3 linked regions of the Canis lupus familiaris genome follow. The protein of the gene in region 1 purifies or fractionates together with the protein of each later gene. This does not show direct contact. Links are inferred from orthologs where the notes say so. Each region holds a gene or a part of one and is shown on either strand. Other genes may lie near its edges.

Region 1 (4,073 bases):
ACACCATATTTTTATGGATGCAATTTTAGGTCTTAACCAATTTTACCTCTTAACCATGTTCCCCATAAATGGGCCTCCAGATTAATCTAACAAAAGGAGATCCCTAACTTACCAGTTTTTCTTTTCTCTAAAACTTTCCTAAAAATCCATCTTTCTTGGCATTGACCGCCTTCCTGTCTTCACCACCTCATACAGCCAAGTCAAGCCAACTATCCACTCCAGTCAACAGTAGTGGCTTTAGCTAATTCCCTAGAAGTTAAAGTTTGGGCCCCTGGAAGCCCCAGAGGGTGGGTGATCCTCTGGATGTGCCTGGGACTGAAGGAGATCCTGGGCTGACGGGACCACTGGGTGTGGCTCTGGGGCAGTGGACCGCAAGGCCCAGCAGGTGTTCAGCCCCAGGCTCCCGACGCCCCCCCCCCCCCCCCACGCACCTCCCTCGGTCGGTCGGTCGGCGGGAGCGGAAACTGAGGCACAGCGAAGGCCCAGTCCCAGGCCAGCTCCCACCCTGCTCCTTGGGCCTGGCCTCGGCTTTCTGGCCCCCTCCTCCTGGTCCCCCTGCTCCCGTGCTCCCCCGTCCTTGGGATCCTGCTCCCCTGCGCGTCCTCCCCTCCTCCTGCTCCCGGTCCTCGGGATCCTGCTCCCTCTGCCGGTCCTCCCCTCGTCTCCTCCTCCCCTCCTCCTGCTCCCCGTCCTCCGGATCCTGCTCCCCTGCGCGTCCTCCCCTCCTCCTGCTCCCGGTCCTCGGGATCCTGCTCCCTCTGCCGGTCCTCCCCTCGTCTCCTCCTCCCCTCCTCCTGCTCCGGTCCTCGGGATCCTGCTCCCCTGCGCGTCCTCCCCTCCTCCTGCTCCCGGTCCTCCGGATCCTGCTCCCTCTGCCGGTCCTCCCCTCGTCTCCTCCTCCCCTCCTCCTGCTCCGGTCCTCGGGATCCTGCTCCCCTGCGCGTCCTCCCCTCCTCCTGCTCCCGGTCCTCCGGATCCTGCTCCCTCTGCCGGTCCTCCCCTCGTCTCCTCCTCCTGCTCCCTCTGCCGGTCCTCCCCTCCGTCTCCCCCGCCCCTCCTCCTCTCCCGCCCGCCCGCCCTCCCTCCGCGCTCCTCCGGCGTCCTCCTCCCCTCCCCGCCTCAGGCGAGCTGACGCCGCCCGGCAGGAATGCGTTTCCGGAGGGAGGGGAGCAGGAGCGGCCGCGGCGGCCGGAGGAGCAGGAGCGGCGGGGCCGAAGAGGCGGTGCCGCGGGGGTCGTTTCCTGCCGGGAGGCGGCTCCGGGCGGCCGAGTCTCCTGCCCCCGCCCCCGAGGAGGAGGAGCCGCCGCCGCCGCCGCGCCCGAGAGCCGGGAGGCCGCGCTAGCCGTCGGGAGAGGCCGAGCCGAGTCCCGGAGTCCCGGAGCTGCAGGCCCCAGCCGACCGCGGCCCGGACGCCCCGGAGAAGGTGGCGCCGTGTGTGCGCGCGTGTGTGCGTGTGCGCGTGTGCGCGTGTGTGCGTGTGGCGGGCGGCGCGGGCCGGGGCGCCGCGGCCGGGCCTGCGTGGGGCGGGGGCGGGGGCGGGGCGGCGGGCGCGGTGGCGGGGCTGCGGGACGAAACGCTGCCCCGGGGCCGGGGCGGGGGCCGGGGCCGGGGCGGGGGCCGGGGGCCGGGGGCCGGGGGCCGGGCCGGCTGCGCCCGCCGAGGCCCGGAGCTCGTCCCGCCGCCTCGCGAGTGGGGGTCGCGGGCCTGGGCGCTGTCCCGCCGCGGTGGGGGGCCCCGAGCGCGCGGAGCGAGCCGGCCTGCCTCGTGGGCCGCCTGGGCCCGGGTTCCGCGTGCGGGGAGGGGCGAGCGGGGCCGCCCGCGGCCCGAGGCCCCGGGGCTTGGAGCGAGCCCTTGCGGCTTCCCTTTGTTCCCGGTCCCGTCGGGGCCGCTCTCCCCCGAGCGGCCTGGAGCGTAGTAGCGCGCTTCCCGCTTGCAGAAGTCGGGCCGCAGCCTTCAGGGCCTGCTGCCGGGGCTAACTGCGGGCCGGGCCCAAAGAGAGGCGGGCGTCGGGAGCCGGGGAAGGCGCGGGCTTGGCGACTTGGGGTGTGTGAGGGCCGCGCCGAGTGGGGGGTCCCTCAGCAGGGGGCCGGCCAGGGGCTCCCGCGGCTCTGCAGGAGCCAGTGCCCACCTGCCCTGGGGCCCGGCCTCTTACTGCGCCTCAATTCTTGGGCTTCCTAACAAGTTGTAGTTACTACCAATATTTTATGCCTAAGTCATTTTTATTTCATCGAATTTGTACTTTTTAGTCAAAAACTAACACTAGTAAATTACCCTCTTGGGGCTTCCATTTCCTCACCCGTAAAATGGGAACAAGAATACCTACACTAATAATAAAAGCAGCTATTCTAGTAAGGACAGTGCGGGCCGTGGTTAGCTCTACGCACTTTACCTGTGTTTATCCTGGAACCAATACAATGAGGTAGGTGCAGTTTTTATACTCATTTTACTAGTGAAGAAACTGAGGCACAGGAGGCCTAAGTAATTTGCCTCTGATCATCCAGCCTAGTGAGTGAAGAACCCATGGGGTCTAGCACCAGAGCCCATGTTTGAATCACAGGTTCAAGTAACAGGTTCCATAAAGACCATAGAGTTGTGAATATCAGATGTAATATGTAAAACAGCTTACAGTAGATGCTAAATGCATAGGACTCCTTTCTGTCTCTTCTTGATATATGAAAAAGATTTAAAAAAAAATCTCAGGACGTAATTGATCCGCTATGCTGTTATTTTTGGTTGTTTTGATGGTATAAAAATAATGTGAAATAAATGTTGGTTAGGCATTTTTCCGAAAGGGCATACAGCCTTTAGTTATATTAATAGACCACTTTTAGAAATGATTAAGGAATTTCAGGTGGAAGTTAACCTAGTCTACATCTGTGAACATCTACACCCACAGGGGATGGTAATTAAGAGTTCACTACAGTGTTCATATTTTTAAATAATTTTAGTTCATTGATCAATATTAAATGAGTGGCTTAAGATAATGAAGTGATACATAGGAAACAGAGGGACAGGTCTGTTGGGGACAGGGCTCTGGGGAAAAAGCCATTTATTTATTTGAAAATTCATAAAATGGAAGATGTTATTAGAATGTTAGCTAAAAAGACAGGGGATGTGGTTAATACTTTTGTAAATAGAAAGCAAATAAATTCCAAATGAAGGTATCTGTGTTGACTTCACAGACTTAAAATTTAGTTTTTGTAATGTTGAGTCTCTTTAAAAGAATGCTGAATTCTCCATTATGATTATTTTATATTACTATTTTATAATACCCTCAACAGTCTGTACGTGAAAAAATATAGAATCAACAATATTGAAAATTGCTAGGTTTAGTGATTTTAACAATTAGGTGGTTTTTTTCTTAACTCTCTGGTCAATATAATTAAAATCTGGCCCAAATTTCCATCACTGAATGAATATGCAGTTCTGCATGGTTATCAATAAACTCCTAACTCCAGGAGCTTCTCTGGGGACGTCTGGTCATTTTGTAATAGGCAGAATTAATCAGTTTAATGTGCCAGTTTTAACGGAATACTTGCCACATAATAGCTTTATTGTTTGGCTTCTTGTCAAATAAATTGCGGCTTACGATATGGGGGTGGGGTAGTATAACACTCTACCTCAGGAAAATATTTTTCTTTGATATTCGGTTGGTACACTGGTCTGTTCTTAACTACACTGCTGGAATGATGAGATGAAACATCTTTTGCCGGTTCAAAGTTGCAGAACTTCTGACTTCTGAGATTTTCAGTTTCTGAATGTATAAAAGCTTGAATGTATCTAAGGACTTATATGGACTCTTGTTAAATTTTAGATTTCCTCACTCTGCATGGAAAGTTAGGATGTATCAGGTTGGGGTAGAATCCTAGAGGATTATACTGTGCAAATATGAAAATATGTCTTGTGGTATTAGTGGGTCTGTTCTAACTTTGGTCATATATTGTGGGGGTTTTGTTCTTTTTTGTTGTCATAGTGGGAGTCTTGGGGAAGGGGGATGGATTGACAGGGATAACAGTAAGGAAGAGTGCCTTAGTCTTCAGGATCCTGAAATGGAAGCAGTATCTATAAATGTA
Region 2 (4,232 bases), on another chromosome or scaffold:
AGAATTTTGTGCGCTGTCTGTGGGATGGAAAATGATGCAGCTGTTGTAGAAAACATTATGGTAGTCCTTAAAAAATTAAATACAGAACTGCTATATGATACCGCAATCCTACTTCAGGGGCATATACCTTAAAGACCTGACTGCGATTATCTCAAACAGGTAACTGTACCCTTATATTCATAGCAGTATTATTCACATTCACAATAGCCAGAGGGTGGAACCAACCCAAGTGTCCATCAAAGGATCAATATATAAAGAAAACATGTATGTACAATATTATTCAGCCTTAAAAAGGAAGGAAGTACTGACACCTGCTCCGACCTAGGTGAACCTCGAGGGCATTTTGCTAAGTGGAATAAGCCAGCCACATAGGATTCCCCTCATATGAAGTCCTGAGAGCAGGAGAGCAGTCCAGTTCAAAGACAGAAAGTGGAACGATGGTTGCCAAGGACTGGGGGAGGGGAGGATTGGGCAGTTAGTGTTTAATGGATGTAGAGTTTCGGTTTTGCAAGACAGGAAAGTTCTAGAGATGAGCGGTGGTGGATGCACAACAACCTAAGTGAACTTAATGCCATGAAGCTTGTACACTTAAAGACGGTGAAGATGGTAAGTTTCATACTGTGTATATTTCATCACAGTAACAACACCTGACTCCCCCCACACAGCTGGGCCCAACCCTCAGAGCTTCTTCGTGTTTGTATTTTTTTTAAGATTCATGTATTTATTTATTCATGAGACACACAGGGAGAGGCAGAGACCTAGGCCGAGGGAGAGGCAGGCTCCCTGCGGGGGCCCCGGGGCGGGGCTCAATCCCTGGGCCAGCGCATCACAACCGGAGTCACCACTGGGCCCCGCGCTCCCCGAGCCCCCAACCCCGGGCTTCTGGTTCCTCGGGTCCCCGCTCCCCGCCTCGGCTGGAGGTGACCGCCCGTCGGGCCGCGGCGCCCCCAGTCCTTCGCGCGTCCTCCGGCGCCCGCTGGGGTGCGAGGCCCGCAGGGGGCGGGGCCGCGGCGGGGGCGGGCGGCGGGCCTCGGGCCTCGGGCGGTCGGCAGGGGGCGCCGGCGCGCCGTCCCCCGTCCCCGTCCCCGTCCCCGTCCCCCGCCGTCCCCGCCGCCCCGGGCCGCCCACCCCGCGGGCGCGCCTCCCCGCAGTCCAGCGCCGCCCGGCCGGGACCGCTCGCTCGGGGCGCGCAGACCTCGCGGCCGCAGCGTGGACGCCGCCCGCCGCCGCCGCCCCCGCCGCCCCCGCCGCCCGTCCCCCGCTCGGCCCCGCCGCCCGCGCTCGCCTGCCGTCCCGGGCCCGCGCCGCTGCCCGCCAGCCTCGGAGCGCAGCCCGCCCCGGGAGCCTCCCGGCCGTCGGCGACCCGCGGCCCCGCGCCCTCGCGCTCGGCGCCCGGCCCGGGGACAGCGAGGGCGGCGGCCGGCGGGGATGGGGGGCCCGGCGGCGCGGAGGGGCGCCGGGGGGCTCCGCGCGCTGCTGCTGGCGCTGGTGGCCGCGGGGACGCCCGCCGACGCCTACAGCCTCGACCCGCAGCGCCCGGTGCGCTTCCAGGGCCCCGCCGGCTCCTTCTTCGGCTACGCGGTGCTGGAGCACGTCCACGACCACACGCGCTGGTGAGTGCCCCGCGGGCCGGGGTCCTGGGTCCGGGGTCCTGGGTCCTGGGTCCTGGGTCCGGGGTCCGGGGTCCTGGGTCCGGGGTCCTGGGTCCTGGGTCCGGGGTCCGGGGTCCCGCCGGAGCCCAGCTCTCCCCGCGCCCCGCCCGCAGGCTTGGCTGCTCCGTCCGAGGCCCCGAGCCAGCAGCCCCGCCGCTCCGGGCGCAGGCTCCTCGGCCGCGGGAGCTCCGGGCGACGCCGCCTGCCCCAGGCCACTCTGCTGCGTGGTGCCGGGCGAGGCTCAGCCCCCGGGGCGCGTGTGTAGGGAGGCGGGGACCCAAGGCAGTGTCTGGGAGCCCGCGGGGCACCCTGCGGCCCAGAGGCCCCCTCCCTCCTTGCCGGGCCTCCGGGGAAGCAAGCTGCGAGGGTCCAGGATGCTGGGTGGGACGGCGGCCCTGGACCCTAAGTCACAAGGCTGGTGGGTGACTTCTGGGGCAGCCTGGGCCTCCTTTCCCACGGGCCATCGGACCTGGAGACAAGCACCTGAGGTTTTAGAAGAGGGATGTGGTTCTCTAGAGGTCAAGGAGTCTAGTTTGCTCCTCGAGAGTCCCAGAGGGTAGGAACCTGCCTCCATTAAGTGCCAGCAGCTAACAGGCACAGAGCGTGACTGCCCAGCCCCTGCGGAGTGCCACGGAGATGAGGTTGGTTCCTCCTTGACCCCTTCCCCAGGCACGTGGAAACCCCACAGCACACAAGGGTCACCTCTTCATCAGAGAGTTAGACCACAGACAGTTCTCCTATTCAAGGTCATGGCCCAGTGGGCCCTGGGTGACAGGCAAGTCTGGAGTTGGTTTTATTGTGTGGGCACCAGTGTGAGTATCCTTTGGGGATGCAGGTTAGGAAGGTGAGGTCAGGAATGTGTGCTCTCCACATGCAGCTCTGTGAGACCGTCACTGCTCTGAATTGGACAGAAGCTGATCAAAAAGGGTGCGTTTGGGGGATCCCTGGGTGGCTCAGCAGTTTGGCGCCTGCCTTTGGCCCAGGGCGCAATCCTGGAGTCCCGGGATCGAGTCCCACGTCAGGCTCCCAGCATGGAGCCTGCTTCTCCCTCCTCCTGTGTCTCTGCCTCTCTCTCTCTCTCTCTATGTCTATCATAAATAAATAAATAAATCTAGAAAAAAAATCTTGAAAAAGGGTGCGTTTGGGGACACCTGGGTGGCTCAGCAGTTGAGCGTCTGCCTTCAGCTCAGGACGTGATCCTGGAGTCCGGGATCGAGTCCCAAGTCAGGCTCCCTGCATGGAGCCTGCTTCTCCCTCTGCCTGTATCTTTCTCTGCCTCTCTCTCTCTCTGCATCTATCATGAATAAATAAATAAAATCTTTTTTTAAAGGTGGGTTTGTAGGTCTGAGCATTCCTGGGAAAGGGTGACTCCATGACCGGCCAGCGTGTTCACAATCATATTGTTTAGGAGAACTGCCTCCAAGAGGACCAGTTTTTAAAGTCCTTTGTGGCCCCTGTCCAGTCCTGCATCTCCTTCTCTACAGTTTACTCCAGTTGCTGAGTGTAAGGCTAGATTATCTTTTTCTGCATTGCCAAATCCCCCTTTTTTAAATTTATTTTTTCAAATCCCCCTTTTAAAGCCAAGCAGGCCTTTTCCATGTCCCGCATGTCCAGAGTCCACTGTGGGCTTTGGATTTGGTAGAGAATACAACAGGAGCAGTTGGAGAACGCATCCCGGAACCCCACGCTGGGCTCTTGGACTGTGTGGCCTTGGCACAAAGTATGTGGAGCCAACGGTCAGGAATTGAAGGGCTTCTCTGGGCAGGGGGCTCTCGAGGAAAGGCAGGCAGATGCTCAACCACTGAGCAACCCAGGAGTCCCTTTATCATAGTTTTGCTATGTCCTTGATGTCTGTCCTCTTGCTGCTTTTTCCCAGCATTTTCCTCCCTAGCCTTTTCTCTCCTCTCCCTTCCCTCCAATATTCTTTGTCTTAGACCTTGAATGTTATTCTCAGCTGATTCTGCTGTCCAGACTTTGTCAACTGTGGCTCTTGAAGCAATAGACTTCCAGCCACGCCTCCTTTCTCTTTCTTTTCTCTGGAAACTAGACTCCCCATGAGGCCAAGGAAACTTCTACCAAAGCCCCCTCACTCACATGGGCCCCCACCAAGACCCTGTGCCTAAATTTATTTTATTTTATTTTTTTTAAGATAGATTTATTTATTTATTTATTTATTTATTTATTTATTTATTTATTTATCTATGATAGACATAGAGAGAGAGAGAGAGAGAGAGAGAGAGAGAGAGGCAGAGACACAGGAGGAGGGAGAAGCAGACTCCATGCCGGGAGCCCGACGCGGGACTCGATCCCGGGACTCCAGGACCGCGCCCTGGGCCAAAGGCAGGCGCTAAGCCGCTGAGCCACTCAGGGATCCCCTAAATTTATAGTCCTAACTTTGTCTGAAAGGTAGTCACCCTAAATTTACGAGATCCAGGCTCTGTGGAATCTGGATCTACCCAATGTCTCTAAACGTTTAGCTCTGGGGTTGGTTGAGTGACTTAGCGACTGATTGCTGGTCTCTTCCTACTGGGCAGTCCCTGGGCCCTGGGCCACTAGAGATGCAGACTCCTCAAAACTGAG
Region 3 (4,256 bases), on another chromosome or scaffold:
GTCTCTGAACCCAGAGCTTGTTTATCCTCTGAAGTCCCCTCAGGGACTGCCACCCACTTTCGTGGTGCAAAGGGGTTTCCTTCTCCTCTGGGGCAGATGCACCGCCCGCCACCGCCGAGAGCGTCCACCCGCCACCGGGAGGCCGCGGGTGTCACACGGGGGTCCGGCTCCCGGGCTGCGGGGCCCAGGCCGAGCCCTCTCGGTTCCCCGGGAGTCGACGTGGCTCCTCGGCTCCTCGCGGCCTGCCCGTGGGAGCGAGGAGCCAGGCCCCCAACGCGCTTGCTCAGCTCGCTCCAAGGCTGTGGCCCCCATCGCTTGCCTTTTGCTCTTGCAGTTTCTTGCCTCTTCGGGTACAGAAGACTCGGGAAGCGGTTGAGTCAGGACCTAAGACCCGACGGGGTGGGACCCGGCCGCGGAGCGCGGATTCTCGGGGTCACGTCCGGCCTGGGAGCCACGGCGCGGTGGAGGGGCAGCTGGGGGGCAGCTGGACGTGGGGCAGCTGGGGGGGGGCAGCTGTGGGGGCAGCTGGAGGCTGTAGCTGGAGGCCGCAGCTGGAGGACACAGATGGACGGGGCAGCTGGAGGGGGCAGCTGGAGGAGGCAGCTGGGGGAGCAGCTGGAGGGAGCAGCTGGGGGGGGCAGCTGGAGGGGATAGCTGGGGGGCAGCTGGAGGCCGCCCCCGGACGCCGCCCCCGCCCCTTCCCCAGCCGGGGCTGCGAGCTGCTGCCCGCGAGGCCGGGACGGGCACTTGCAGAAGGCAGAGGCCTGCCTGCGCAGCCTCCCCAGACCGCGGCCGAGCCCGGCGCGCCGGGGGCACAGAGGCGTCAACCGCCCCTAGAGGGGGGCGCAGGCTCCGAGGGCCTCCTGCGGTGCTCAGCACCCCCCACCCCCCCGCAGCCCGGAGGCCGGGCCGGCACCCACAGGCGAGGCACCCACAGGCGAGGCGCCCGCTGCAAAGGTTGGGGGACTCCCGGGATGTGAGGCCAGGGACTTTCTGGAAGCTTTTTCCCGACCGCCTGCACCCGACGCCAGGGAGCTCGCAGCGCCCTCTGCCGACGCGGGGCGGGGGCTTCAGCCGGGCCGGAGCGGGGCCGGGAGCGGGGCCGGGAGCCGGGCCGGGGATGGGGGCGCCTCCCGAGCACCTCCCGTCGCGCGGCCCGGCCCGGCGGCTCGCAGCGTAACCCGGGTCCGGACCGCACGGAGTCGGGGGCCGCCGGCCCCGCCCTCCCAGCCCAGGGGCCCCGGGCCCCGCGGCCCAGCCCCGCCGCCTTCCGTCGCGGGGGGGCGCCTTCCGGGCAGGGGCCACGTGGCCCTGGCGGGCGGGGGGCTCGGCCCTCCCCTCGGCGGCCGGGTGACTCAAGCCGCAGCTGTTCCCGCGTCACGAGGGAGGCCGGCGGCCCGGGCGGAGGGGGGGCCGGGGCTGGAGCCGGGGCGGGGCCGCGGCGGGCGGGCGGGGCGCAGGCGGGGGGCGCCGCTAAAGAGCCCGGGGCGGCGGCGGCGGCGGCGGCGGGAGAGCGGAGCGCAGCGTCGGGGAGCCCAGGTGAGGCCGCGGGCCCGGCCTGCGTGCGGGCGGGGTCCGGGGTCCGGGGTCGCGGGCGGCCGCCCCCGCCGCGGCTCGGCCCGGAGCCCAGGGCCCGCCGCACTCCCGAGCCCTCGCCACTTTGCAACTTCGCGAAGTTCCGGAGGCCCCGGCGGCGGCGACCGTGCGTGGGGAGCCGGGAGCGCGGGGCCGGGGGCGGGGGCCCGGGGCGGGGACGGGCTGCGGCCGGGAGGGCGCCCTGGGGCCGGGGCGGGGCCGGGCGGGAGGGCGGCGGTCGCCCCCGCCGCTCTCGGGCCCAGGAGGAGAGGGGGCTGGGGACGTGGCCCCGACCGCGGGTTTCCGGGTGGGAGGGGCCGGGACCGGGGGCCCCGACGCCCCTCACCGGCGCCCCCCGCAGGCCTGCAGCCATGGCGGTGGAAGGAGGAATGAAGTGTGTCAAGTTCCTGCTCTACGTCCTGCTGCTGGCCTTCTGCGTGAGTGCGAAGGGGGCCCTGGGGCCCGGACGCGGGAGGAAGAGCCGGGGGCCGCAGCGCGCCCACCGCCGCAGCTTTCGGGGACCTCCGAGGCGGTGCGGACCCAGGACGGACGGCGTGGGCGCGCCGCACCCTCCCCCTCGCCCCTTCTGGCCCTTCCTGTCCGGTGACCCAACCGCTGTGATAGGGCAGTGGGGCAACCGGCCAACGGCCGCCTGATGGCTATCGCCGCGGGGCCCCCTCTCCCCCGCACCCCGCCTGCCCTGCCCCTCACCCCCTCGTTCCCTGCTTCCCCGGGCTCCTGTCGGCTGCCGGGGGTGGGAAAGGCCTCTGCCCACCTCGGTTTGCTCCCGTCCTGGCCTCCCGGCCTCACACGCTGCTCTTTGTCCGGGGAGGGGCCCCACTCGTGCCTCTGCTTCTTGTCCCCTCCGCCCCCGGCCTTGTGGCCTGAGGAAGCCCCGTCACAACTGATGAGGGTAGGGCAGGCCGGGAGGCTGCGGCTGGGGCGCGCCTGGGCGCCCTAGAGGCCCCGAGGAAGTACCACTCTAGGTGAGGATACATGCCCTGGGGTCAGGGCTTTCTGGGAACTTCTCTGTTGGCATTTGATCAAACTGTGGGGGCAGATACGGGTTGTCCTCCTTCCCTGCAATCCTTCCTGGAGGCGCGCGAATCCGTCTCCCTGGGTGGGGCTACGTCTGTGCTTGGGCGTACCTGCTGCCCCCTGCGCGGAGGCCTGATGGCTGGTGGGCCCGGCCTAACCCTGACCTGTCCTCACAGGCCTGTGCGGTGGGGCTCATCGCCGTGGGTGTAGGGGCCCAGCTGGTCCTGAGTCAGACCATTGTCCAGGGGGCCACGCCTGGCTCCCTGTTGCCCGTGGTCATCATCGCAGTGGGCGCCTTCCTCTTCCTGGTGGCCTTTGTGGGCTGCTGTGGGGCCTGCAAGGAGAACTACTGTCTTATGATCACGGTGAGCCGGGTGTGGGGCCGCTGTGGGTGCCTGGGCCTGCTGGGAGGGGCTTCTAGGGAGAGGGGGATCCAGGGGCGAAGCGAGGCAGGTGGGGGAGGAGAACCTCTCTGAGTGGGCTAGAGGCTGGCTGGGCCACAGCAGGCCACTCTCACCGGGACTCCACACCTGACCCCTGTCCGCTGTGCCCGCAGTTTGCCATCTTCCTGTCCCTTATCATGCTGGTGGAGGTGGCCGCAGCCATCGCTGGCTATGTGTTTAGAGACAAGGTAAGCGGGGAGGAAGCAGAGGGCCCTGCCTCACAGGGCTGGCTGCTCTGGGACGCGCGTGCCCTAAAGTCTGACCCCCACGATGCTCTTTCCTGCTCCCAGGTGATGTCAGAGTTTAATAAGGACTTCCGGGAGCAGATGAAGAATTATCAGAAAAACAACCACACGGCTTCGATCCTGGACAGGATGCAGGAGGATGTGAGTGAGCTTGCTGGGAGCGGCTAGCGGGGAGGAAGAGTCTCATCTCCGTGTCGAAGGCGGAGGTTTAGGTAACAAGCCCCTGCCCTGTATTTCTCTCGTCCTGCAGTTTAAGTGCTGCGGGGCCGCTAACTACACAGACTGGCAGACCGTCTCTCTCATGCCCAAGGGCCAGGTCCCTGACTCCTGCTGCATCAATGTCACGAAGGACTGTGGGATTTCTTTCAATGTGAAGAATATCTACTCTGAGGTGGGGAAGCAGCTGAGATAGCAGGGGACTGGGAAAACTTGGGAAAGGTTTCTAGGGTTGAGAGGGCCCAGGGATGGAGGTGGAGAGGGTTGGGGCCCTGGGATGCGGAGGGCATCTGGGAACGTTAGCAGTGCGGTGAACGGTGCAGAGCGGGGGAGAGCCAGATGGAGCAGAGGAGGTGGGTGGGAAGTTTCTGACTCCGTTCTCGCTTGTGTGCCCACCGTCCTTCAGGGCTGCGTGGAGAAGATTGGGGGCTGGCTGAGAAGCAATGTGCTGGTGGTGGCTGCAGCGGCCCTGGGCATTGCCTTCGTGGAGGTGAGAGGCCCCCTTGGGACTCATTCTGGGGCATCTGGGCAATTGGGGCAGTGGGAGGAGGGTGCTAGGGAAGTCCTGGCCTGGGGAACCTGGGGCCCCTGGTTGTGTTTGGGGTCTCCTGAGTGGGCCTGGGATACTTTGCCTTTCTGACTCCTCTTTGCTTTTAGGTACTGGGAATTGTCTTCGCCTGCTGCCTCGTGAAGAGTATCCGAAGTGGCTATGAAGTCATGTAGGGGTCTGGTCTCTTCA

Evidence for each region.
Region 2: the proteins of ITGB1 (region 1) and ITGA9 purify together in Homo sapiens (affinity purification with mass spectrometry; 3 studies listed by BioGRID and IntAct, counting the BioPlex papers as one, with this or other methods). This does not show direct contact. The link is inferred for Canis lupus familiaris from reciprocal best matches to the Homo sapiens genes ITGB1 and ITGA9.
Region 3: the proteins of ITGB1 (region 1) and CD63 purify together in Homo sapiens (affinity purification with western blotting; 3 studies listed by BioGRID and IntAct, with this or other methods). This does not show direct contact. The link is inferred for Canis lupus familiaris from reciprocal best matches to the Homo sapiens genes ITGB1 and CD63.

The regions. Positions count from the first base shown.
Region 1 is NC_049223.1:3,937,813-3,941,885, forward strand, and holds the start of ITGB1 (integrin beta-1), read left to right. Parts: upstream 1-1,265; 5' UTR 1,266-1,423; intron 1,424-4,073.
Region 2 is NC_049244.1:7,516,940-7,521,171, forward strand, and holds the start of ITGA9 (integrin alpha-9), read left to right. Parts: upstream 1-1,428; coding exon 1,429-1,613; intron 1,614-4,232. UniProt on the Homo sapiens protein: Integrin alpha-9/beta-1 (ITGA9:ITGB1) is a receptor for VCAM1, cytotactin and osteopontin. It recognizes the sequence A-E-I-D-G-I-E-L in cytotactin. ITGA9:ITGB1 may play a crucial role in SVEP1/polydom-mediated myoblast cell adhesion.
Region 3 is NC_049231.1:478,427-482,682, reverse strand, and holds the start of CD63 (CD63 antigen), read left to right. Parts: upstream 1-1,452; 5' UTR 1,453-1,539; intron 1,540-1,936; 5' UTR 1,937-1,946; coding exon 1,947-2,012; intron 2,013-2,789; coding exon 2,790-2,978; intron 2,979-3,169; coding exon 3,170-3,244; intron 3,245-3,346; coding exon 3,347-3,442; intron 3,443-3,551; coding exon 3,552-3,692; intron 3,693-3,923; coding exon 3,924-4,007; intron 4,008-4,174; coding exon 4,175-4,240; 3' UTR 4,241-4,256. UniProt on the Homo sapiens protein: Functions as a cell surface receptor for TIMP1 and plays a role in the activation of cellular signaling cascades. Plays a role in the activation of ITGB1 and integrin signaling, leading to the activation of AKT, FAK/PTK2 and MAP kinases.